Linked DNA regions of Schizosaccharomyces pombe. The protein of the gene in region 1 binds, or shares a complex with, the protein of each later gene. Each region holds a gene or a part of one and is shown on either strand. Other genes may lie near its edges.

Region 1 (6,575 bases):
CCGTTCCTAGCAAATCGTTAACATACAATACATAATCATGATTGACGTTATCAAAACCATGGTTGTGAACTCCTTCACTGGGTTTGGTGAGTGGTCTCCGAGGGTTTTGTTCGGAAGAAAACTGGAATTTTGGATTACAAATTGAATATGTATCAGCTAGTTTCACAGTCATTGCTTCTAAGGGCTATATGTTTAATTAGTAAAATGCAGAGCAAGTAAAAAATTTCGTACGCTAATATAGCTTCCATGGGGAGACACCCTTCTGTAATTGTATTTCTTGGTTGCCGGTTTGACAGGAGCAAACAAAGTTGTTCCAGAAGACGAGACATGACGAGCATGATTATTACGCTGCGAGTGATCATGAGTCCTCGCAGCAGGAGGATTGTTCGATAATGGAAGAATGGGCGAATCCGAATCCATATGAATAGAGACGCCTTTTTGTAAAGTATTGCAAAGAATATATCAGTATAGGCAGAATACGAGTGCCTTCATTCACACTCGAATCACTTTAAAGTAACGTAAAATAGTGATCTCTTGGAACGTGAGTCGATGCACAACAGTGCAAAAAGGAACCACAAGTTATACTATTTACAAAGTAGTAGTTGACAGATTAACCAAAGGAATCTAAAAAAGAAGTGCTTTAAAGGAAAAAAGTCAAAGAGTTTGAAATGAACGCACCAACCGGCTAATCAATTTAATGGAACAACTGACAAAGAGCTAGTTTCGCTTACGATAATCTCGATCTGGAACAAAGGGAAACACTTGTGGATATGAAGCTTAAAATATGAATTTGGAGGAATCTTCTAATTTTCTTGTTTATAGCGTGTAGCTACAAATACAAATATAATATTCGGCAGAAAATCGAAAATATTCACTAAAATAAGCCGATAAATATGCACAGTGCGAGTTGAACGAATAACTAATCAACTCCACCGTATAAATTACAAATTTATACGAAAAACAACACTGAGAGATTTCGCAATTTATTGAAAGATGAAGGATTTAACCAAAAAAAGCGGCTTGGTTAAAGGATAGAGAGGAATCTGAAGGAAAGGGATGACGACACACCGCTTTGTAGTGAGCCGCGTGTAACGGCGCTGACGATGACTGAAATAAAGTACAATTGCTTGCTATGCCTTAATCAGTTTTACTGATTTTCAATCTATTACGTAATAGAGTGTATCAATGAATTAAAAGGCCGTCATTAAAACTTTGGCTTGCAAAAAAATACAAGAAAAAGTTACTAGAAGAGGATCTTTTGATTCTTATATTATTAAATAGTTGGATCTTAGATCCCAATTAAATAATTAAATATTGTTTCAGGTTTCCGTGACATGACTTAAGAAGGCGATAATTTCGCTTACATTAAGGTTCCTGCTCTTACTCTCCACAACGAAATCAATTCGTATTTGAAAAGACGAATGAATTTGGTGCAAAACATCCGTCTATACCAATAACCGCGATAAATAAGAAACAACTTCCATTGAAAGGCTTATTCGAAACATCAAGCGCAATGTTTACCAATAGTACGCATCCTTAATTCAGAATAGTAGCAATTTTTCGAAAAAACGGATATTCTCCATACTTAGTATATTTGGATGTTGCACAACCATGTAACCGGTTGGATATTAAAAGGAGGAAAAACGTTTCTTGTTTGGCATCTATCTGTAAATGAAGGAGTCGTTGTTAAAACATTCTCCACGCCGACTACATTCGTACATAAAAATTTTCGCATAAACGACAAACGAAATGGTTCCTAGTCCAATGTTCACACAAAAATCTGTAGTGAATGGACGAATATTGGTTATTGACTTCAAACATCTAAGGAAACATAAATAGACGCAAGATATCAGAATCGAACTAGCTTATATGTAAAAATGTTCCTACCAACTAATGCTCCTACGTACTTCGCATGACACTAGATAACATAAATATTTCAAATTTTAGATCGCTAACAAAAATTACAAAGCACAATGATATTCATGAAAGATATATGTTGTTTAGCTTTGAACCTTTATTGAAACTGGGAGTTCATTTTATTTATGAAACAACCATACAACGTTATGAAGTAATATTTTTCTGAATCCAAAGCTGAAGACGTTTAGTCCGTGAAATTCAAACATCCATTTACAATTGTGGTACCAAAAAGTTTCCCAGTCTGGATTTCAAGATGGCTACAGAAACTGCAAATACGCCAAGACTCACGAAAATGGAAGAGTTTTCCTTATTGACGACTAAAAGATGTTAAATTAATAGTTTTACAGGGACATACCCTTTTTGAAAATATCTTTTTGAGCAGAAATGCGATCCATTTTTGACTAAGTGGTTGAAGGAACGTGGCTAAATACCGACTTGTAACGTAATTTAACATGACTGTGATCGCTGCCATAAACAGTGATCAGGTAAAATGTATGGCTTCAATAACCCTAATTGATAACCCTAAGAGCTAGCTGTATGGATTTTGTTTTGCAGTAGAGGAAACATTCTATACTGCAATAGTTTTTTAAGACAAAACGCTTTATATTTAGTTTACTTGGTCTTACGAAATAATCAAGAGTAGCGCTGCGGAAACAAATTTTTTCCTTTAAAATTTTCCATAATCATTATCTTTTTTAGTATTTTTTCATTTTTTTTTCGGGGGAGGGGTTAGAATAATTTAATTCATTTTCTTAACAAATGTACATCTCAAGAGCATCAATATTTAGACAATTAAAACTTTCAATAAATAAACGATTATTTTTTTCGGATTATTAATTGCTAAGCAGATAATTGCTTGCGACAAGGAAGCAAAGTGAGTATACACTTGGTTAGATGGAAAATATAATCACTTCCTCATAATTAAATTGTTCAGCGTATTTCATTCATCAAAAGTAATTCTATAAACAACCTGACGCTGATTATGTACAGTTTTTGTCCCGCAACTGCGTTAATGATTTCTGAGTGTATTTGTGATACGAAATTGCTTATAAAGAATCATGACATTCTATCAAGTCAAAATCGATAAACCCCATGCTTCTTAGTTTTCTAAACTTTCATTGCCGACAGTTTTGGATAAATTTATTAAATAACAAATTACGTTAATCCACTTTAACGGACACAAAATATTATTAACGATAACATACCTCTTTCAAAAAGGTGGAAGGGGGTCCTCACCCTTCCTTTGACTGCTGCACGAAAAAAAACTTGCCAACCACCAACATGTCGAGATTCTTCAAGGGAGGCTCTAGCGACAGCGATGCAGAATCCGTTGACTCCTCTGAAGAAAACCGTTTAACCTCTTCAAGGTTGAAGAAACAAGATGACTCTTCATCTGAAGAAGAATCAAGTGAAGAGGAAAGCGCATCCAGTTCGGAGTCCGAATCATCTGAAGAAGAGTCTGAAAGCGAAGAGTCAGAAGTAGAGGTTCCCAAGAAAAAGGCCGTGGCTGCTTCCGAAGACTCTGAATCTGACTCTGAAAGCTCAGAAGAGGAAGAAGAGACTGAATCCGAAGAGGATAGCGAAGTTTCTGATGAATCTGAGTCCGAGTCTGAGTCCGAGTCTGAGTCTGAGGAGGAATCTGAATCTGAAGAGGAATCTGATGAATCTGAACGTTCTGGCCCTTCTAGTTTCTTAAAGAAACCCGAAAAAGAAGAGGCCAAACCCGCTGGTCTTAAGTTTCTCCGTGGTGAAAGCAGCGAGGAAAGTAGTGATGAGGAAGAGGGTCGTCGTGTTGTTAAAAGTGCTAAAGATAAACGCTATGAAGAGTTTATTAGCTGCATGGAAACTATTAAAAACGCTATGAGTTCAAACAACTGGATTGTTGTTTCTAATGAATTTGATCATTTGAACAAAGTATCTCAAAAATGCAAAGAGGCCGGCAGAAATCCTCCTCCGTACATCGAATTCTTGTCTGCTCTTGATCAAAAACTCGAGTCCGCTGATAAGGCCTTTATCAAAAGTTTGGATGCTGCTAACGGCCGTGCGTTCAACGCTTTAAAACAGCGTGTTCGTAAAAACAACCGTCAGTTTCAAAGTGATATTGATAGATACCGTAAGGATCCTGAAGGTTTCATGAAGCCAGCAGAATTAAACGAAATTCCCAAGCCTGCCGGTAAGGCTGGGCAAGATGAAGTTATTGTTGATGGTGTAGCTACTCGTGGTATAGTTGCACCTACTGAGGGCTTAGGAAAACCAGAAGAAATTACACCTGCAGATATTTTCAAGTATCTCAGAGCTATTTTCGAAGCTCGCGGTAAGAAAAGCACTGACCGTTCTGAACAAATTCGTTTACTAGAAAAACTCTCGACTATAGCCGTAACTGATTATCAACGTCTTCGCGTTAAAGTTGCCCTATTGGCGGTTAGATTCGATATAAACACTGGCTCTGGACAATACATGCCTATTGATCAATGGAATGCCGCTCTTACTGAGTTACACAGTATTCTTGACATCTTTGATGCAAACCCCAAAATTGTTATTGTTGAACAGGTAGAAGATGAAAATGAAGAAGAGGAGGAAGCGATAGCTGCGGCGGAAAATAATAATGGAGTCATACAAGTTCAAGGTAGTGTAGTCTCTTTCTTAGAACGATTGGATGATGAATTTACTCGTTCTCTTCAAATGATTGATCCTCATACTCCTGAATATATTGACCGTCTGAAGGATGAAACGTCACTTTATACCCTTCTTGTCAGAAGCCAAGGTTACCTTGAGCGAATTGGGGTGGTTGAAAATACTGCTCGATTGATCATGCGCCGTCTTGATCGCGTCTATTACAAGCCTGAACAAGTAATTCGCGCTAATGAGGAGGTTGCTTGGCGTTCTTTCCCTCCTACTTTTGATCTTACAATTACTCCTCGTGCCACGACTACGACTCCTGATATTTTAATCCATTCCCTATGTGTCTATCTTTATAATAATGGTGTCAGTTTACTTCGTACCCGTGCTATGCTGTGTCATATTTATCATGAAGCATTGCAAAATCGTTTTTACAAGGCTCGTGATATGTTACTTATGTCGCATTTACAAGATAGCGTGCATGCTGCCGACATTGCTACTCAAATTTTACACAATCGCACTATGGTTCAAATTGGTTTGTGTGCTTTCCGCAACGGTATGGTTCAAGAAACACAGTATGCTCTTCAAGACATCTCTACTACTGGTCGTGTAAAGGAACTCCTTGGACAAGGCATACAAGCACCAAAGTTTGGACAATTTACACCTGATCAGGATCGTTTGGATAAGCAGTTGGTTTTACCTTTCCATATGCACATAAATCTAGAACTGCTTGAATGTGTTTACTTGACTTGTTCTATGTTGATGGAGATTCCCGCAATGGCAGCTGCTAGCTCTACTGCTTCAGATTCTAGAAAGCGTGTAATCAGCCGACCCTTCCGTCGTATGCTTGAATACATTGATCGTCAGCTTTTCGTTGGTCCTCCTGAAAATACCCGCGAGTATATAATGCAAGCTTCGAAAGCATTGGCAGATGGTGAATGGCGTCGTTGTGAAGAATTTATTCATGCTATTAAGATTTGGAGCTTAATGCCTGATGCTGACAAAATTAAGCAAATGCTTAGTGAGAAGATTCGGGAAGAGGGACTACGTACATACTTATTAGCATATGCTGCTTTTTACGATTCTGTTTCTCTTGAATTTTTGGCTACGACATTTGATCTTCCTGTTCAGCGTGTTACTGTTATTGTTTCTCGGTTATTATCTAAACGTGAGATCCATGCTGCTCTTGATCAAGTTCACGGTGCCATCATTTTTGAACGTGTTGAGATTAACAAGCTGGAAAGCTTGACTGTTTCTCTTAGCGAGAAAACTGCACAATTGAATGAGGCAAATGAAAAGCTATATGAGCAGAAGACCCAACACACTAATCCTCAGGAGAACAGACGTCGTGATAAGGGTGGCTCGGTTAAAAGACGCAATGAACGCACCGAAAATCGGAATCGTTCAGACATGAATTAAAGTTGTTGTGCATCGGTGAAAAATAGGGCGATCTAATTTCAATAAAATGAATGACTATTTGTCTTTGAAGAAAGTATTTAACTATCAGGTGGTTTCCATAGATCAATAGACATCTGAGTTACTTCATAGTGGTTTTGTTACAAACGTTAATCGGAAATAATGTAGTTTACCGTTTGGTAATTATCTTCAATTGTAAAGATACTTTGCTTCGAAAGTCTGAATCTGTTGACCATTATACACGTTTACAGTAAGCTATTTCTGCAAGCTTTGTTCTTCAGTTTCATATGGTCGCCTTTTTTCCATCGACTGAAAACAGACATGATGTGTGTAATCGAATTTTTGGTCGCTAGTACGAGCTCAATCTATCGGTGTATGGTTTGAAGTTGTTTTCTTTAAAAAATCTATTACTGAACGAAGTATCTCTAATTGTGTTGTTGAACCTCTAAACAAGAGTTCTGAAATTCTATTGAATACTTCTGAAGTCGTATTAAGCATAACAATCCTTACACAATACATTCACACGATCTTGAATGGTAAACCTCTAACGAAGTCAACTGCGATAAGTTTCATATTATTTCTAAAAATGAGGGAAACTTTATAAGAATTTTTTTATCAATGTT
Region 2 (6,916 bases), on another chromosome or scaffold:
ACCTGCACGTCGAGCACAAGTTATATGGTAAGCTGCATAACAATTTTTATCTGAGCATTGCACACAAGTACCCCATCGAAGTTTACAAATGCAACACACCAATTTCCAGCGAGACTTTGGGATTGAAGCAATGTTTCGAACCAAGTCTAATCTACTAGTGTCGTGAAAAGATATTTCAGGGATTGCTATGGCGCAAATTGTGTGGCACCAACGTCCATCCAAGGTTGTGCAAAACGCACCATCTCTGTCAGGACAAAAAGCACAGCATATAACTTCATGAGGGGCTAGTAAACATTTCTTACAAAACCATTGACCCTCTGGAACAAAAGGGATTCCATAACAATTCTGGTGAACAGAAGTGTTACAGTTATCGCAAAAAACTATAGCATTACTGTTTTCGCATTCTGCTTCATTACAAATAACACAACGACCATCTAGTTCATCCTCCACTCTGACGGGTTCAATCTTAGGCATCCAAGCCTCTAGATAAAGCCATTCGCGTTCAATAATGGTAAGAACTATTTCTAAAAATTCTTTAGAAACATTTTCCCACTCTGAATTAGATGAAAGTTGAAACTCATTATAATATGTTAACCACATTGTGTCTAACTCATCCAAGTCGTAGGATACAGGAAAGGACGTTTTTGAGTAAGGATGTATAGCAACGAACTTGAAATATTCGTCTGGACTCCAATCTAATTGTTTCGCAGTTTTATATCCAAATTTTTTCTCTTGTGGATTAATATTTTCCGTTTGAACACCTACTGGCTTTACGTTTTCGATCTTGGCATTGAGCAAAGCTTTAAGCACATAAGAATTCTCGGATTTATAGGTTACTAAAGAATCACGAAGGCCTGCATATTGTGTATGGTCACCTTCTAATATTTCCAAAGGTTCGTCTATTTGTAGGTCTGGATGGAAAGATTTATAGGGAATCTCTTCTCTCGGCTGAAAAGCAAGTTCATCGGGTCTTAGAATATTTCGACCAGTAGAAGTAAGTCGGAAGGTTTGCATGAAAGCCTTTTACAAGATAGATTTACCATACTATCTTTTTTACATTTCTTTCATGGTGTAACTATATTTACGAGAAAAAGGTGCAATTTTGCTTAAACTTCAATAGTGCATTCTGCCGCTGATGATTAAGCAGAATAAGCGGGGGTAACGTGAATGACCGAAATAAAAAGATGATTGTAAACAGTTGAACTCTGAAATGAAAATAGTTTGGACATAGGAAGGGGTAAATTTATTCTTCCCGTTCTTTCTCTTTTTATATTTATTGGTGTTGTTTTCAAAGAAAACCAGAGGAAATTGGAAAGCGTGATTTTGCATTTTACGGAAATGTAAGAGTTACAATTATATACAGTTGATGTGAAAGTACAAAGATTTTCGAGATGCTTGATAAAAAGCCCTTTCAAGAATCTTTGTGAATAGTTTATAAGCTAATATTTTTGTACCCGCCATCAACGAATACTTCACTTAGTTTATTCTTCTAGAAGTCTAACATTTACACCAATCACAATTAAATTGCTTCATCAAAATGGGCCTCTAGAGTTTACCTAGCGTCGAAGAGATTGAGGACTTAGCGTTTTTTAACAAAAAAATCTTTCGGAATACATAGGGTTATGACCTCTTTATTATAATACTTTGACAAACTATATTCGCTAAATCTTTCTTCCTTTATTCAAGCTTTGAGTAAAAGTAATGCGAGTTTCTGCTACTTTTCAAGGATAACACTTTAAATTTTAGATTGGCTCGGAAAATATTTCGCTCAAACCACACTTCTTTCACTGGTAAGGTCTCAACGTTTATATAAGTTTGTTGCCAATTGTAAATAAGAGTTTAGACAATGCTACAAGTATAAAACAATGCATAAGCCCTGATGAGGAACTCAAGCGAGTATCGACTCAACGGCAATAAAGATTATTTTAAGAACTAACTAGTTTTATCACCAAATACATCAAACAAAGAATGGACTTGGTGATTAGCGTAGAAACAGATCTACGGCTAAAATTCCAAAACTATAACGGTACTAATATTTCTTGGATGTACATTGTGTAACGATAGTAATTAGTAGCGGCAACAGAAAAATCTGACTACTATCCCATAAACGTTCAAATAAAAGCAAAAATAGAGCTTTCCTCTGTTCTAAACTGAACTGGTATTTTTTAAACAAACATGATAGATTAACGAGTATGTTAGCACTTCACACTAGGCGATCTATTCAAATTTAGTCATATTATCGTATTCGGTAAACCACTAATTTCTTTGCACAAAAAGTGATGCTTATTCAAGTCAAACCTAAGAAAGATATGAACAACTAACTATATATATATGCATGTGCTAACATTTTTTTTTGCAAAATCAAGAATTAAGTACCTCTTGTTTAGTGGCTTATATAAAACTGCGAGGTAGCTCGCTATTCGTGTAATAAAATTTTACTACGACAAGGGGGAAGTTTTCAACTGCACAACATGGCACCTCCTCAAGGAAAGCCCGAAAATGTGCTAAGGGTATGTATTATGAGTTTTTTACTTACTTTGACTAACATAAATTAGCTTGCCGATGAGCTGATAGCTCTAGATCAGCACAGCTCAGCACTGCAATCTCTTCATGAGACTATAGTTTTGAAAAGATCAAGAAACGCGCAGGGGTTTTCTCTCGAGCCTATTATGATGCGTTTCATCGAACTTTGTGTTCATTTACGCAAAGGAAAAATTGCAAAGGAAGGCTTGTACACCTACAAGAACGCAGTTCAAAACACCTCAGTTACCGCTATTGAGAATGTAGTCAAGCATTTTATTGAACTTGCTAATAAAAGAGTTCAAGAAGCTCAGGAGAAGGCAGACAAGATATCAGTTGAATATGTTGACGATCTTGAGGCTACTGAAACTCCCGAGAGCATCATGATGTCTTTGGTTTCGGGAGACCTTTCCAAGAGCCGCACAGACCGTGCTTTGGTCACTCCATGGTTGAAATTTTTGTGGGATGCTTATCGTACAGTTCTTGATATTTTGCGTAATAATGCTCGTTTAGAAGTAATGTATCAGTTAATTGCTAACTCTGCATTCCAATTTTGCCTCAAGTATCAGCGTAAAACCGAATTTCGCCGTCTATGTGAACTCCTTCGGTCCCATCTTGGCAATGCTTCTAAATTTTCAAACGCTCCACACTCTATTAACTTGAATGATGCTGAAACTATGCAGCGTCATCTGGACATGCGTTTCTCTCAGCTAAACGTTGCTGTTGAGCTTGAACTCTGGCAGGAAGCTTTCCGATCCATTGAAGACATTCACAGCTTGCTTACGTTCTCTAAGAGGGCTCCTGCTGCAGTCATGCTTGGCAATTATTACCGTAAATTGATTAAAATCTTTTTGGTTTGTGATAATTATTTGCTTCATGCTGCAGCTTGGAATAGGTACTTCACATTTACAAATGTGCAAAAACCCGCTACTGCTAATTTTGTAATTTTAAGCGCTCTCTCTATCCCTATTATTGATGCCAACAAATTATCGGGCCCTTCCATTGAGGCAGAAGATGCCAAGAGCAAGAATGCTCGTTTGGCTCTTTTGTTAAACTTATCGAAAACACCTACGCGTGAAACATTAATTAAGGATGCCATTTCTCGTGGCGTTCTTTCTTTCTGTGATCAGGCTATCCGTGATTTGTACCAGATTTTGGAAGTTGAGTTTCATCCATTGAGCATTTGCAAAAAACTTCAGCCTATCATCAAAAGATTGGCAGAAAGTAATGATACTGCTCAATACATTCGTCCTTTACAACAGGTTATTCTTACTCGTCTTTTCCAACAACTGTCTCAAGTTTATGATTCCATTTCATTGAAATATGTTATGGACCTTGCTACATTCGAGGAGCCTTACGATTTTAACCCTGGTCAAATTGAGAAATTCATTATGAATGGTAACAAGAAAGGTGCATTTTCTATTCGTTTGAACCATATTGAAAATTCCATTAGCTTTTCTTCTGACTTGTTTTCTAATCCCATTAAGTCTTCGGATTCTGTTTCTCTTCAATCTACTCCATCTGAATTAATTACATCTCAACTTACGCGGATTGCCAAATCCCTTTCTAGTGTTTTGATGCGTTTTGATACCGATTTCTGCCTTTTACGCAAGCAACAAGCCGAGGCTGCCTACGAAAGGGCTCAGGCTGGTGTTGAACAGGAGCGTAAAGCGGTCATTGCTCAGCGTAGTCTTCTCGAATTACGTCGTGGACAGGCTGATACACTTGCTACTCAACGTGAAGCTGAGCTTGCTGCTCAACGCGCTCTCAAACAAAAGCAAGAATCTGAAGCCGAGTCTCTCCGCGTTCAAGAAGAAATTAATAAACGTAATGCTGAAAGGATTCGTCGTGAGAAGGAAGCTATTCGCATTAACGAAGCTAAAAAGTTGGCCGAGGAGCTCAAAGCTAAGGGTGGATTGGAAGTCAATGCCGAAGACTTGGAGCATTTGGATGCTGATAAATTGAGAGCTATGCAAATCGAACAAGTCGAAAAGCAAAATAAGAGTATGAACGAACGTTTGCGTGTTATTGGAAAGCGTATCGACCATTTGGAACGTGCTTATCGTCGTGAAGCTATCCCATTGTGGGAAGAAGACGCAAAACAACAAGCCGAACATGACCGCGAAATCTTTTACGAGAGGGAGAAACAACGCAAGGAAGTACAAGAGCGTAAGCATGAACAAGCCATTAAAGACAAAAAGGCTTTTGCTCAATTTGCTTCCTATATTCATGCCTATAAGCAAAATATTGACGATGAACGTGATAAAGCATATCAGGAGGCATACGCCAAAGCTAAAAATGTCATTGATGCAGAGCGCGAAAGGCAACGTAAAGAAATTTTCGAACAAAAATTGGCTGAGGCTATTCGCGAAGCTGAAGAGGAGGCTGCTCGTGCTGCTGAGGAAGAGGCAAACCGTGAGCTTCATGAGCAAGAAGAAGCTCAAAAACGTGCTATCGAGGAAAGAACTCGTGCAGCTAGAGAAGCTAAAGAACGCGAACAGCGCGAAATGGCTGAGAAATTGGAACGCCAAAGACGTATTCAGCAAGAGCGTGATGAAGAAATATCTCGTAAGCTTGCCGAGAAAGCAGCTGCTAGAAGAGCAAATATTGGCGCATCTTCACCTAGTCCTGGTGCTTGGAGGCGCGGCGGTGCTAGTGCTGGCGGTGTTTCACGAGACTCTCCAAGGTATTCTCGTGGTGGCTACTCTCGTGGTTCTGTTCCTCCTCGTGAGACCCTTGCTCCTTCTAAGGGAGCATATGTTCCACCAAGCAGACGTAATCAACAACAACAGTAGTAAACCTACTGTCTATAAGAAAATAAACCTGTCGACAATTAATTATTGTCGCAATTGGATATTGGAGTCAAGTCTTTACGATGCATTATCTAATGTCACAGCTGATAAATTTAAATGAACTAATGTGTTCTCCTATTGAAAGTTGTAAGTTCCTTTTTCTTACAAGGGTAGTTGGTTACTTTCATGCTATTGGAATTCATGAAAGCGGTTATGTGTATAAAAAGAGCCTTTTGTAGCTCTATTTAATAGATAATTATCGTTAACCTTTGAACTTTTTTTAATTTGTATAATACTGCTTAAAGCTTGACTTGTTAATTGTAAATGTAGAACGATACTAATCGAATAAAGATGTTACATGTCAAGTTTATAAGCGACGATGAGTTTTTACAGTTGACGTTTCTGTAGTATGCATTTCTCATTTCAATAATTCTGAATACAACGAGTGAAGAAATAATTCATTAATTATTAGCAACGTGTTTTGTATTAGTACCAAAAAGGTTAAGCAGCTTAAAATATTTGTTTAAAGACACTCAAAGTAAAAAGGTTTCTTGGTGAGAGGCACGACAATTTGTTACCGCAAATAGACTCTTCGCTAACCACCATGTTCAGAACGACCAAAAGTCGAGTAGTTGAAAAGAATCAAAATTTTTCTAGTGCTAGTTTTGAGAGTTTAAGTTATCCTACGCGACTTAATTTTTATAAGAAACCTCCTGTCTCTGAAATAAGCATTGAAGAGTTTGAAACATGGGCAATAGACCGATTAGTTGGTATGCTTTCCATTTTCTTTATTATTTTCTATTCTTTTGGAGTAAGCTAACTATTTAGTTTTGGGTGAAATTGAGTCAGCAATGCTCCGCAATAAGACGAAAAATGAATTGAACGGGATTATAAAAAAGATACTGGATAAACGTCTGCCGATGAGTAGCAACATGGCTAGGACTGTAAAAGGAAACTCCTTAGATGAAGAAAGAAGGAAAGATCATTATTCTCATTTCATTCTGCGCCTGGCTTTCAGCAGATCGTAAGTAAAAATGTGCTATATTTGAGTGCTGTCTGTCGAAAAATATCTCATTTAGACTTATAAATGCGTTCGCGTTATGGCATAAGTAGTAAATTGAACATAAAGTGGGTATCAATTTGCTGCTTCAGTTAAACAGAAAGCATTATATATATGAATACATTTAAACTTGCTTTTATTCTTTTCCTAACGCATTCATTAGTGATGAATTACGAATCAGGTTTTTAAGAGCTGAATCCACGTTATTTCGGTTTCGATTTGTGAATGAGGAAACCCGAGAACGTCAAGCGTTTATAGATAGTCTTGATTTTCAATGGGAATCTGTTTCACAAGAAGAAAAAGACGTTTTTTATGAAAAGCTACAGGCTTCTTCTCAAAGAAATATAGAAAACGAATCTTTCTTCAAAGTACCTTTTTTTAAAGTTCCGGATTTAGTAGAACGAAGGGCTGTTTTCGTTCACAAGGGATACGCTTACGTACCATTTTCGGAACAAGTAAGTCTAGTTGTTGAAGAGTTTGAAGAAAACTTAAAAAAAGCGCTTGAGTCTACCGCAAAATCTCTTCCTAGGCTTGATGAAGACGA
Region 3 (5,440 bases), 2.8 Mb from region 1:
AATAGAATACTTGATGTGCATACTTCATACTGGAAACACATGTTTAGTTTATTTGGCTTTCAAATCAATGAAAATGACTGGAAATATGCTAATCCAAACTTAAATCGTCCACCTTTTTTGCACAACGACCAAATCTCAGATGACTATTTTCCGGAAATTTTCAAAAGACATTTTCTCAATAGAAAACGATGGTTATTTCCTTCGATACCTCCAAGTCATCTATCTTTTCCCATTCATGTTCCAAACTTTATGATAACTTCTTTACTACTTCATAAAGACAGAATAATCACCACTTCGGGATCTGGAACAATTCAAATTCATAATGCTATTACCGGTGTTTTAGAAGCTCGATTAGAGGGTCATAAAGAAGGTGTTTGGGCTGTCAAAATACATGAGAATACACTTGTATCTGGTTCGATCGATAAAACTGTTCGCGTTTGGAACATAGAGAAAGCTAAATGTACGCACATATTTAGGGGACATATTTCCATCATCAGATGCTTAGAGATCTTAGTTCCGAGTCGTCTTATTCGCCATGGAGTTGAAATTGTTGAACCAGATCAACCGTACATTGTCAGCGGCTCTCGGGATCATACACTTCGGGTTTGGAAGCTTCCAAAAAACACGGATCCTCCTTATCTTCCAGATAATACAAACTCTATTGACCGTTGGGAGAAGAACCCGTATTTTGTACATACTTTGATAGGACATACAGACTCTGTACGAACTATATCCGGCTATGGTGATATACTTGTGAGTGGGAGTTATGATTCTTCAATTCGCATTTGGAGAGTTTCAACAGGGGAATGTCTTTACCATCTGCGGGGTCATAGTCTTCGTATATATAGTGTTTTATATGAACCAGAAAGGAATATTTGCATAAGCGGTAGCATGGATAAGTCCATTAGGGTTTGGGATTTATCGACAGGGACTTGTAAATATGTGCTTGAAGGCCATGATGCCTTTGTTACGCTTCTTAATGTATTCCAGAATAGGTTGATATCAGGTTCTGCTGACTCCACAATTAGAATATGGGATTTGAATACTGGGAAACCATTAATGGTTTTGCCGTCTAATTCAGGCTACATTAGTAGCTTTGTGTCAGATGAACACAAAATTATTAGTGGTAATGATGGTTCTGTAAAGTTATGGGATGTTAGGACTGGAAAGCTGTTACGTTTTCTATTAACAGACCTCACAAAAATATGGCATGTCGATTTTGATGCTATGCGTTGTGTGGCTGCAGTGCAGCGTGATGATCAAGCATATTTGGAAGTTATTAATTTTTCCGGATCAAGACCGTAGAAAGTTTCATTTTAACAATATTTAAGAAGACATAATTAGAGTAGTGTCTAACTATTTACATCAGCTACTAACACATATTAAATGTATACAATGTAAAATTAACAGCCAAAGCCTATCAAAAGTAAATAAGTAACGAAGGATTGAATAAATTATGCTGGTTGGTTTTGTAACTGGTATTGAATTAACATTGGGAAAAACTTCCAGATAGAAAAATCCGGCCAGTAGAAATCGATGAATTTTATCTCCGTATTTTTGTGACACTGATAAAATTAGTTGAATATCTTTGACTAGAAAATTAGGAGAATTTTTACTTACCTGCCATAACATAAAATCAGATAGACGCTCCACACCGCTAGTGCGAATCAACAAGTCTAAAGGAAGACTATCTTTTATCAATAGGTTTTTTTCAAATATATCTTCATCTATATCTTCTGGAGTGATTGTACCATCTTCTGCCATTTTTACTATTGATTGCACAGAAGTAGCAATTTCATGTCGAGAAGTGTATGGAAAGCAAACATTTAATGTTGCCCTAAGATGTCAATTAGCAAAATAAAAATTTGAAAAATTTCACATACTTTGTGTTATGTTTTGTAATTTCCACAGCCTTTAGAGCAGTTTCTAAAACGTCAGGTTGCAACCTGCTAAGATCGCCAACAATGCGAATACGGATCCCATACTGATCAACCAAATCACCATGAGCAGTAATTTGCGTTAAGCTGTTTTTTGCAATCTCCATTAACATATCAACTTCATATTTAGATCGCTTAAAATTTTCAATGGAGAATGTGAAAGCCGATACTTCTTTAACTCCTAACTTCAGACACACTTTTAATAGCTTACGCAGGGTTAGTTAATGTACCAAATTGTGCAGAACGTAGACGGATACCAATGCGCAAAACATGGAGAAACGGTACGTTTAACCTTCTATTAATGTTCTTTAAACTTACAGATTTTAAAGCTTCAAAACCTGAGCTATGACCCTCGATAGTTTCCATCCTTCTTTGACGAGCCCACCGTCGATTGCCATCCATTACAAAGGCTATGTGTTGTGGTACTTTGCCACGTTTAATTGTATTTATCATCATCGTTTCTAATTGATCAAGTGTCCATTGTAATGGAGGACAGTGAATAAACCAGCCTGATAAATTACCCATATTGTCAAGATATTTTGTCAATTCTTTTCTTTTCCTTTATAAATGCACGCTAAATATCAAAGAGAAATAATTATCTTGATAAACAATTATTTTCAAAAAACGATTAGATGTTTTTGACGCTTCTATAAAACACTCAGGTTATCCGGTTCTAGATATGTTTTATAAGTATAATTACCAAGCACGCTAGAAAAGGATTTTTAGCTAAGGAAATATACTTTCAATCGTAAACGAATGGAACAAAGAGACGCTAGTTTAAGACCAAACGCTTTTGTATTTTTTTTTAAAAATCACGAAAGAAATATTATTTTTTGTACAAATAAGTAAGACAGACAAAATTCAAACAAAACCACAAAATACTGTTTTCAAAGTGAGACGTGCGACCTTTGGGTCTAACTAGTCTAACGCAAGTGTCTCAGAAATGAAGCCAGTTCATTTAAGAGTGTCGTTAAGCCTCCTTATTTTTAATACCATCCTTAAGTTACGCTAATTAGAATCAAAATATTACAACTAAAGACTTTTCGCTCAAACCCTCTACCAGCACTTTCCTGTTCAAAAGATGAGGCCTATCATTTTACAGGGTCATGAGCGTCCTTTGACTCAAATAAAATATAATCACGATGTAGGTTTAATAACCGTCCATTATATGTGGAAAATTTACTAATTTTTGTGTGTAGGGTGATTTATTATTCTCATGTGCCAAGGATAAAGTGATTAATGTCTGGTTTTCACACAATGGTGAACGCCTAGGTACATATGAGGGTCATACTGGTGCAATTTGGACTTGTGATATTAATAGTACGTGAAAATTGGTGGTGATGTATGTTGGATTAAGACATCTAAAGGTATACGGATTATGGAAGTATAAGGAAACACGAATAATGAAACATATCATGACTCTAATAAATGTATTTTTTTTATTAGTCGTCCGATTGCAGATGGTTATACTCGTGATCCACGATTCTGAGTTGGCGTAGTACTTAAAGTTAAATATGCATGGTGCATCTCCTTTACTTATATTAATGCTACGTTTACCTCACTTCACTTCCTCGTGGAAAGCATTTAAACTTCTTTTAAATCCTTTTCCTTCTTCTTGATGCCTCAAATCCAACTAGATCATCTGTTCCTTTTCCAATGGTTACTAACTGAAACAGAAAGTAGCACTTTAATGGTTAGTGGAGCCGCTGACAATACCATGCGTCTTTGGGATGTTAAAACAGGAAAGCAGTTGTACAAGTGGGAATTTCCTACTGCTGTCAAACGTGTTGAGTTCAACGAAGATGATACCCGTATTCTTGCTGTTACCGAGGAACGTATGGGTTATGCTGGTACCGTCACTGTTTTCCGTGTTCCTATTTCGGAAAGCGATGCCGCTGCTGAAACCCCCCTTTACGTTATTACTACTCGTGAATCTAAAGCAACGGTCGCTGGATGGTCTTACTTGAGCAAGTTTCTCTTTACTGGTCATGAAGATGGCTCCGTTTCCAGATACGATGCTATAACCGGAGAATTCGTTGAATCTAAACAAGTTCATAATTCTGGTTCTACTATTACTGATCTTCAGTTTTATCCTGATCGTACTTACTTCATCACTTCTTGCAAGGATACGACTGCTAAAGCTATTGATGTTGATTCTTTTGAAGTCATCAAAACATACCTTACTGATACGCCTCTTAATACTTCTAGTTTTACTCCTGTCCAAGACTTCGTTATTTTAGGAGGTGGTCAAGAAGCCCGTGATGTTACTACTACTGCTGCTAGACAGGGTAAATTTGAAGCACGTTTTTATCATGCGATTTTAGAAGAAGAGTTAGGCCGCGTTAAGGGTCATTTCGGTCCTATCAACACAATAGCTGTCCATCCCAAAGGAACCGGTTATGCTAGTGGTGGAGAAGATGGTTATGTTCGGGTGCACTTCTTCGATAAAAACTACTTTGACTTCAAGTATACATTGTAGGTTAATTTTATTCAAAAAACTGTTGATAGTATAGTAATGGACAACGGAACTTTTTTCCAAAGATGTATCATTTTCGTTTAGGGAGCATTATATGAAAAATAACCTTCTATGAGTACAAGAGTTTTTTAATAAATTCCATTCAAAATTCAAATGTTTTAAAGTGAAAAGTAATGTAATTGTCATATTCCGTAAAGCAACTAACTTATCAAACGCTTCTTTTAACGAGCTTTTGAAACATGTTTGAGGAGAACAGCCCCAGAAATTATAATTGCTCCAAACCATATGTAGTTGTCTATCTTGCTGTAGGCTGGAGTCGTTATTTCTCGATAACTAGGTGTTTTTTTTGGGAAGTATCCCAAAAGTCGGTTGATGAGATTTTCGTCGAGCATGGCAAGTTCCTCCAAAGACCACAGTTCGCAAATCTCAATCATCCATCTCATTCTTTTGCGACTGTTTTCAGGTTCGGGAACAATGTCTCGTAATTTTTGTCGTAAAAGGCCAGTTTTTTCCAATGCCATACCAGTAGCTGGATTGATTGAACTTTCGATTTTTTTTCGTATTAAACTGGCAAGTTTTGGACCTTTACCATTGGTGCTAACCATAATTTGTAGAGGGCCGTTACGGATTTCAGACCCAAAGTAGAAATCACATTCAGGTGGAATATCCGCCGCATTGACCGGGATTTTTTTGCTTTTGCATAACTTATAAATTTCGGAAGACAAGCTGGGATCATCTATGGCTGTAAGTACCATGTTTACATCGTCAGACAAATCTTCGACTAGAAATCCCCTGTCTCGCCATTCAACTTGCTTCTCCTGTATTCTCCAAGCCACTTCTTTACAAAGACCAGCTTTTGGACTTACAACGATAACATGGGCATCCGCATTCAAAACATGCAATATACGCCCAGCTGCCACAACGCCACCTCCAACAATTAATACTTTTTTACCTTGTGCACGCCAAGCAATAATTAATGATCTAAAGCTTAGATTAGCCTAAAAATTACCTTGAGATACATCAAAAA
Region 4 (5,461 bases), on another chromosome or scaffold:
GGGTTTTAGGACACAAAATTACAGTACTGTCCAACAAGTTGATATGTAAATTACCACGAAGGATACCGCCAACGGAGGCAGAGGGATGCGTACATAAGTATTCTTCATTATCCCTTTTGTTAAAGCGAACGTATACACCTTTGTTTAGGTCGCCAGCGCAAACCTTAAAAGAAGTTCCAGTAAATCCAACAGCAATTTGATCCTGACCGTATACTTCAATGCCCTTAGAAGGGCAAGTAACATAAAAAGCACTTACAGCAGGATGATGTGAGGTTTGTTCCGCCATAAAGACTATAGAATGTTTTGATTTCTGAGAGGAAGAAAGGTGCTCATTATTTGATTCAGCGGTGCTAGGTGCTGTTGAAGAACGATCATTGCTTGAATCTTGATTCGATTCAGATTTAGAATTTTTTTTGGAAGATTTCTTCTTAGAAGTCTTCGTGGAAGACTTTGTCATGGTAGATGCAACGCTTTGGCTGGACGTTGTACGGGAGGCCTTTGGCCTATATGATTTACCAAGTGGGAATTTGGTGGTTTCGGAATATTCCGTCTTGTATGTAGGTAGTTGAGAAGAATCTGGATCTAATGTATGATCTTCTCTTACTGTAGGATCTGTTACGACCCATTTGCACCGGAAAAATTCACCAAGCACAGAGTTGTAAGGCTTTACCACACGACCACGAACAAAACGAAGGTCCTTTGTAAACCACCAACGCAATACGCCCAACATTCTTTCAAGTTCGTCATCAGAATCGCCCATGACTGCAAAGTAGTCAGGTCGATCAACATAGTTCCAGTACTCCAAGTTTCCAACAGGCTCTAACAATTGTGCAGGTAAACTAAAGCGAAGACTAGCAATATCCTTCACACCAATGCATTGTTTCAATATGGAAAGAACTAGCTTGAATTTTCCTTCTTCTTTCTGATAACCCTCTACTTCTCCATCATCCCTGACTAGTTCCGTAGGGTTTTCAACTTGAATAGGTTCATTTTCTTTTTTTATTGCTTGATTAGGATTTGGCATCTTTAGGTCCTGGTCCTACTACTGACCAAAAATCTATTCTTTTCAAGAGATATCTTTGCGTTGATAAATGTTGGTGGCACGGAAACGGATGCTGTCTCAAGCTTTCGTGGTGTACTGGTTTGATATGAAATTTAAACACCAAACTTACATATTAGTTGTAGCGAGTCTTTCGATTAAATTACGGTAATACCGTTGCAGCATCGTTTATTTATCTATCAATTAGGGAAATTTAATTTAATGCAATTGGATTAGTATTATTACAGCAATTTAATATATACATAAGTTAATTCCACCGACACATTTTCTACATGTTGAGATAGCGGCATTAATACTTTTGCATTAATTATTTATTTTTTATGCACTTCAGAAAATAAAAAAATTTTAGATAATATATATTTTTTTAATATCCCCGCATGTTTCAAATTTCCAAAATTAATATACTAATAGCGATATTCAATGAGCACGTTTCTTTAAATAGGAAAGTACACAGTCATCTTCTACAATAACGAGTTGTTTGAAAATACAAAATTAGCGAATTAATTAAACTCCTATGTTTTATTTTTAATGTATGAAATATATTCCACCTTTAAACTATTTGCTAATCTTGTCTAAACAGTAGCATGCTTTAACTCCGAAATGCTTTTAGCAAGAGATTGCTCCAAGTTTTGACTTTCAAAACTTAATGACTTTGTACGGTCTATAATCTGTTGGAAAGCTGAATAAGTAGGGTGTTCAATTATTATTGATTCACCGTCCAACTTAGCTTTAAACCCAAATTGTACCTCGGGTTCGGGCTCTTCGGCTTCAGTAGCAGTTTCGGCTTCCGTGATTAAATCATCAGCAACAACATTTGTAGAGGTAGATTCAATACTTTCATCTTCAGTACTTTGATCGGCAGCTACATTAGAAGCTGCGGCAACTGAAGGATTATTACGGTTTTCAACAAGTTGTATTAATTGAGCACTGTCCATTTCCAGCTTGTTAGCAAGCACATCAACACTTATGACACTGTGAATACGGCAATATGCCTCAGCAAGTAATTTGCGAGCACCTTCCAAAAAGTGATCGCACAAAGATACGAGAAAAAAGTCGGTTTTCAAAACCTCTTCACATTCTCTGAGGCAATGCTGAGCTTTTTCAAAGTCGACCTCAGTATACAAAGCAGAAATAAAAGAGGTCACAGGATCGCTGTATTCATAGTTTTCTTGGCTAATGATGCGTACGAGATCTCGCATCCTTCTTTGATAAGATTGCCTAGGGTTACGAGGTTTTTGATTTGCATTATTTTGGTTAGTAACAACAGCGACAGTCAAATATCTTAATAGCCAGGGACAAGAGGTTTGGATGGTGTTGAGATAAGGAGTATAGAAGAACAAATCACAAAGAGTATCACAACCATTTGCATGATTAAACAAAGGAAACAAGGACCAGTGGAGGAGCCAAGTTCGATTTCTCAATTGAACAGCAGAATCTTTAAAGCTTTTGGAGTCCACCATTTCGCGAAGTTTTCCCAATTCCTCCATAGCCCCATCCCAATCAACAGTCAAAATTTCAGAAGCAAATTTACCCCAGGTCGCGGAGGCGTTTAATTCAGGGTCTTTACTGAAGGCACGAAAATGATAAAGTAAATCTGATGCACCACCGTAGTTTCCACAATTATATTGAAATTGAGCAAACTTGTAAAGAACAGCTATACGTTCAGGGGTAATGTTGTAATGTTCTTGTAGGTGTTGTAAATTTTGACCTTTATCTTGACGAAGAGCTGCAATCAAGTCAGGATTTTCTAAGACACCTAAAATTCCTTGAACCTCTTCTTCAAGTTCAGAGAGCTCTTGCAAAACACTGCGTCGCTTTTCAGCAAAAGCATTTGCCATGTCCTCGTCGGTATGACCCCCATGAAGATTAGTCCACAAGTTGGCCACATAATCAGTCATATTGGTATCTTTAAGCAAATCATACTTAGCTTGTAAAAGCTCCTTTGGATCATGAGTCTGTCTTAAAGATAAAAATTCCAATAGAGGAAAAATGAGATGGCGGTCAAGGTGTTGCATAATTTTTTGCGACAAATCATACTTGACCGCTATAAAGGTTAGAAAACATTCTCCTGTATTTAAAAATAAATCTAAATTAGCTTACCTAAAGGGCTTGTACTCTTAAGCTCGGATCCCATATCTGATATGTTTCACGCAAAAAAAAAGTGCGTGGTGTGGGGAGGATAGCACAACTCACCCAAAACTCTAGTAGTAGCCCCCTTAGACTACAGTACTGAAAAGCAATATGACAATAGTAGGTCAGCAATGTTCGTACAAAAAATATTAAATTCCTTAATGATATTTTTGCTTTTTTTAACCAATAGTTTTTCATAAAACTAATTAAGCTCGAACTTACTACCAGCTAATGTAAATCAATGTGTAAGACAAATTTTTATCCGATTCTTGATCTTTACTTAAATTGTAATTATTGTCAAATACTGGTTTCTAATATTTTTTTAACTTTCGATATAAATAGCACTTCTTATACGAATAATACATAAATGCTACTTAATAAAATGTAAATGCTTACTAAGAGATAAGTTTTACACGTCCATCCATCAAAATGATAAGCTCGATATCAATCGATTTAGTAATATTACAGTATTTACGCCCATAATCTATAGCAAATTTTTCAATTACAAGTTGTTCTAAATATGCAAGAGCAATATGGTCCCCGTTATATCCTAATAAAAATAACGTCTCAATGGCTCTTCTTTTTCTTCTTACTTTTCTTGACTTCTTCTGATGCATCATCGGCAGAACGCTTTTTCTTAGACTTCTCCTTTTTCTTCTCCTTCTTGTCTTTCTTTTCTTTCTTGCTCGGCTTTTCTGAAATGGTTTCAACAGTCTCTTCAACGTCAATGTCAACCTCCTCGTCTCCGTCTATGTTAACACTCGATAATGCCTTTTCATAAGCTTCTGCCATTGCAATACTATTGCGAGTAGGGGCGACACCGGTATCGAAAAAGTTGAGACGTTCCTCGACTTGTCGACGAAGAACTTGACCAAATGCCGTAGTTGGGGCATCGCTAAAGTTATCAATACGGCTAGCAATAGAACATTTGTTAGCCAAGAAACGAGAGATGCGGCCTTTGTTTTTAGCGCCAGCTTTTCCAATAAAACTAGAATGGTAAATAATACCGTATTTAGGCGTGTTTCCACGGGTTTTCAGAGCACGGAACAAAGCCTTTTCAGCACCTAGAATCTGTACCGTAGAAGCCGGGCATTTTGACAAGTTAGTTAGACTTCCGGCATGAGAAATCAAACGAGCACCAACCATCTCACCAATTAATTCAGCAAGATTGGGAGCAACAACATTCATCTTCTGAACCAAATAGTTATGTAGCTGTTTACGATAATTACTAAGTTTAATAACACGTTCAGCAAAAGATAGAATATTCTCGAGGTCAATTTCAGAGATATCTTGTCCCATAGACACTTTACCAGCGTTGATTATACTTTGAGCAATATCTTTGTCATCGTCTACAACGGCTGCCAGATCATGAAGCATTTCGTCGTTAATGGTGGTTTTATCACCAACCAGTGTAACAATAACAGCGTATTTGTAATTGTCTCCAACGATCTTCGAAAGCTCAGGGAAATGCCAAGAATACCACTCTTTCATGCGCATAGCGAAAGTATTAATGTCCTTGTCAAGTTGATCAAGGATAGCAATAGCTTGGATAATCATGTTGTCATTTCTGTTAACATTGAACTTCACTTTTGCGCGAGAGTATGAATGTCCTAAACCAAGCTGAGCCCTTTCGAAATCACCGGGTGATAGTTGCTTGAGAAGTTTATCACCATGAAAACGAATACCACGGAGAAGATCCTGGGTAAGCTCAGAAGTGTCACATTCAATGGCATCAATTTCGGATTTAATAGACGTTGCTAAATTTTTGTCTTGGACTCCCAGAGACACCTTTTTCTTCTTTGAGGCTTTCGGCAAATTGAGTTCCAAAAAGTTTTTCAAAAAATCATTCAAAACGCCTTCAGAAATGTCGTTGGCATTTTCCAAAGCATGGGCAGCATTTTTAAAAGGAATAAAACTTCTAAGCTGCACCACTTTACCAAATTTTGAAATATCCTGAAGAGACAACTGCACTTCCTTTGTCTTCGCTGCTATTTGATCAGCTCCAACGACATCAAAAAGGGAATACCCTGTCGCAGACTCATACAACAAGTAATCAGCCATTCTTCACTTGTAGTACTTCACGCCGCAATTCTGACTCGGCGTTAGTGCTGTGGGTGAAAATTTGTGCGAACTATTCAAAAGTTTGATGTATTTTTTTTAACGTAGTTTATGATAGGGTATAGTAACCTACATTAAATTAATTTTGAAGCGATTTGATTCAGCAATACTAAACAACGCTATTTTACACTACGTTGTGTATCACTATATGTC

Evidence for each region.
Region 2: tif303 (region 1) and tif301 share a complex: the UniProt entries of both Schizosaccharomyces pombe proteins name them as parts of the eukaryotic translation initiation factor 3 (eIF-3) complex.
Region 3: tif303 (region 1) and sum1 share a complex: the UniProt entries of both Schizosaccharomyces pombe proteins name them as parts of the eukaryotic translation initiation factor 3 (eIF-3) complex.
Region 4: tif303 (region 1) and int6 share a complex: the UniProt entries of both Schizosaccharomyces pombe proteins name them as parts of the eukaryotic translation initiation factor 3 (eIF-3) complex.

Annotation. Positions count from the first base shown.
Region 1 is NC_003424.3:2,579,600-2,586,174, reverse strand, and holds tif303 (translation initiation factor eIF3c), read left to right. Parts: upstream 1-3,185; 5' UTR 3,186-3,198; coding exon 3,199-5,955; 3' UTR 5,956-6,075; downstream 6,076-6,575. Other genes in the region: serine/threonine protein kinase Ppk15, read right to left, coding at 1-184, 232-420; tom6 (uncharacterized protein), read right to left, coding at 2,128-2,234, 2,273-2,312. UniProt on the Schizosaccharomyces pombe protein: Component of the eukaryotic translation initiation factor 3 (eIF-3) complex, which is involved in protein synthesis of a specialized repertoire of mRNAs and, together with other initiation factors, stimulates binding of mRNA and methionyl-tRNAi to the 40S ribosome.
Region 2 is NC_003423.3:3,311,867-3,318,782, forward strand, and holds tif301 (translation initiation factor eIF3a), read left to right. Parts: upstream 1-2,464; 5' UTR 2,465-2,471; coding exon 2,472-2,510; intron 2,511-2,555; coding exon 2,556-5,315; 3' UTR 5,316-5,586; downstream 5,587-6,916. Other genes in the region: histone acetyltransferase complex subunit Nto1, read right to left, coding at 1-1,014; DNA primase large subunit Spp2, read left to right, coding at 5,917-6,082, 6,141-6,336, 6,536-6,916. UniProt on the Schizosaccharomyces pombe protein: RNA-binding component of the eukaryotic translation initiation factor 3 (eIF-3) complex, which is involved in protein synthesis of a specialized repertoire of mRNAs and, together with other initiation factors, stimulates binding of mRNA and methionyl-tRNAi to the 40S ribosome.
Region 3 is NC_003424.3:5,355,938-5,361,377, forward strand, and holds sum1 (translation initiation factor eIF3i), read left to right. Parts: upstream 1-2,986; 5' UTR 2,987-3,018; coding exon 3,019-3,081; exon of another isoform or gene 3,082-3,136; coding exon 3,137-3,257; exon of another isoform or gene 3,258-3,613; coding exon 3,614-4,416; 3' UTR 4,417-4,567; downstream 4,568-5,440. Other genes in the region: F-box/WD repeat protein Pop2, read left to right, coding at 1-1,305; rer2 (cis-prenyltransferase), read right to left, coding at 1,455-1,565, 1,621-1,837, 1,884-2,143, 2,256-2,462; met8 (siroheme synthase), read right to left, coding at 4,635-5,394. UniProt on the Schizosaccharomyces pombe protein: Component of the eukaryotic translation initiation factor 3 (eIF-3) complex, which is involved in protein synthesis of a specialized repertoire of mRNAs and, together with other initiation factors, stimulates binding of mRNA and methionyl-tRNAi to the 40S ribosome.
Region 4 is NC_003423.3:937,068-942,528, forward strand, and holds int6 (translation initiation factor), read right to left. Parts: upstream 3,242-5,461; 5' UTR 3,195-3,241; coding exon 3,161-3,194; intron 3,105-3,160; coding exon 1,633-3,104; 3' UTR 1,554-1,632; downstream 1-1,553. Other genes in the region: oss1 (oxysterol binding protein), read right to left, coding at 1-1,024; U3 snoRNP protein Nop56, read right to left, coding at 3,758-5,251. UniProt on the Schizosaccharomyces pombe protein: Component of the eukaryotic translation initiation factor 3 (eIF-3) complex, which is involved in protein synthesis of a specialized repertoire of mRNAs and, together with other initiation factors, stimulates binding of mRNA and methionyl-tRNAi to the 40S ribosome.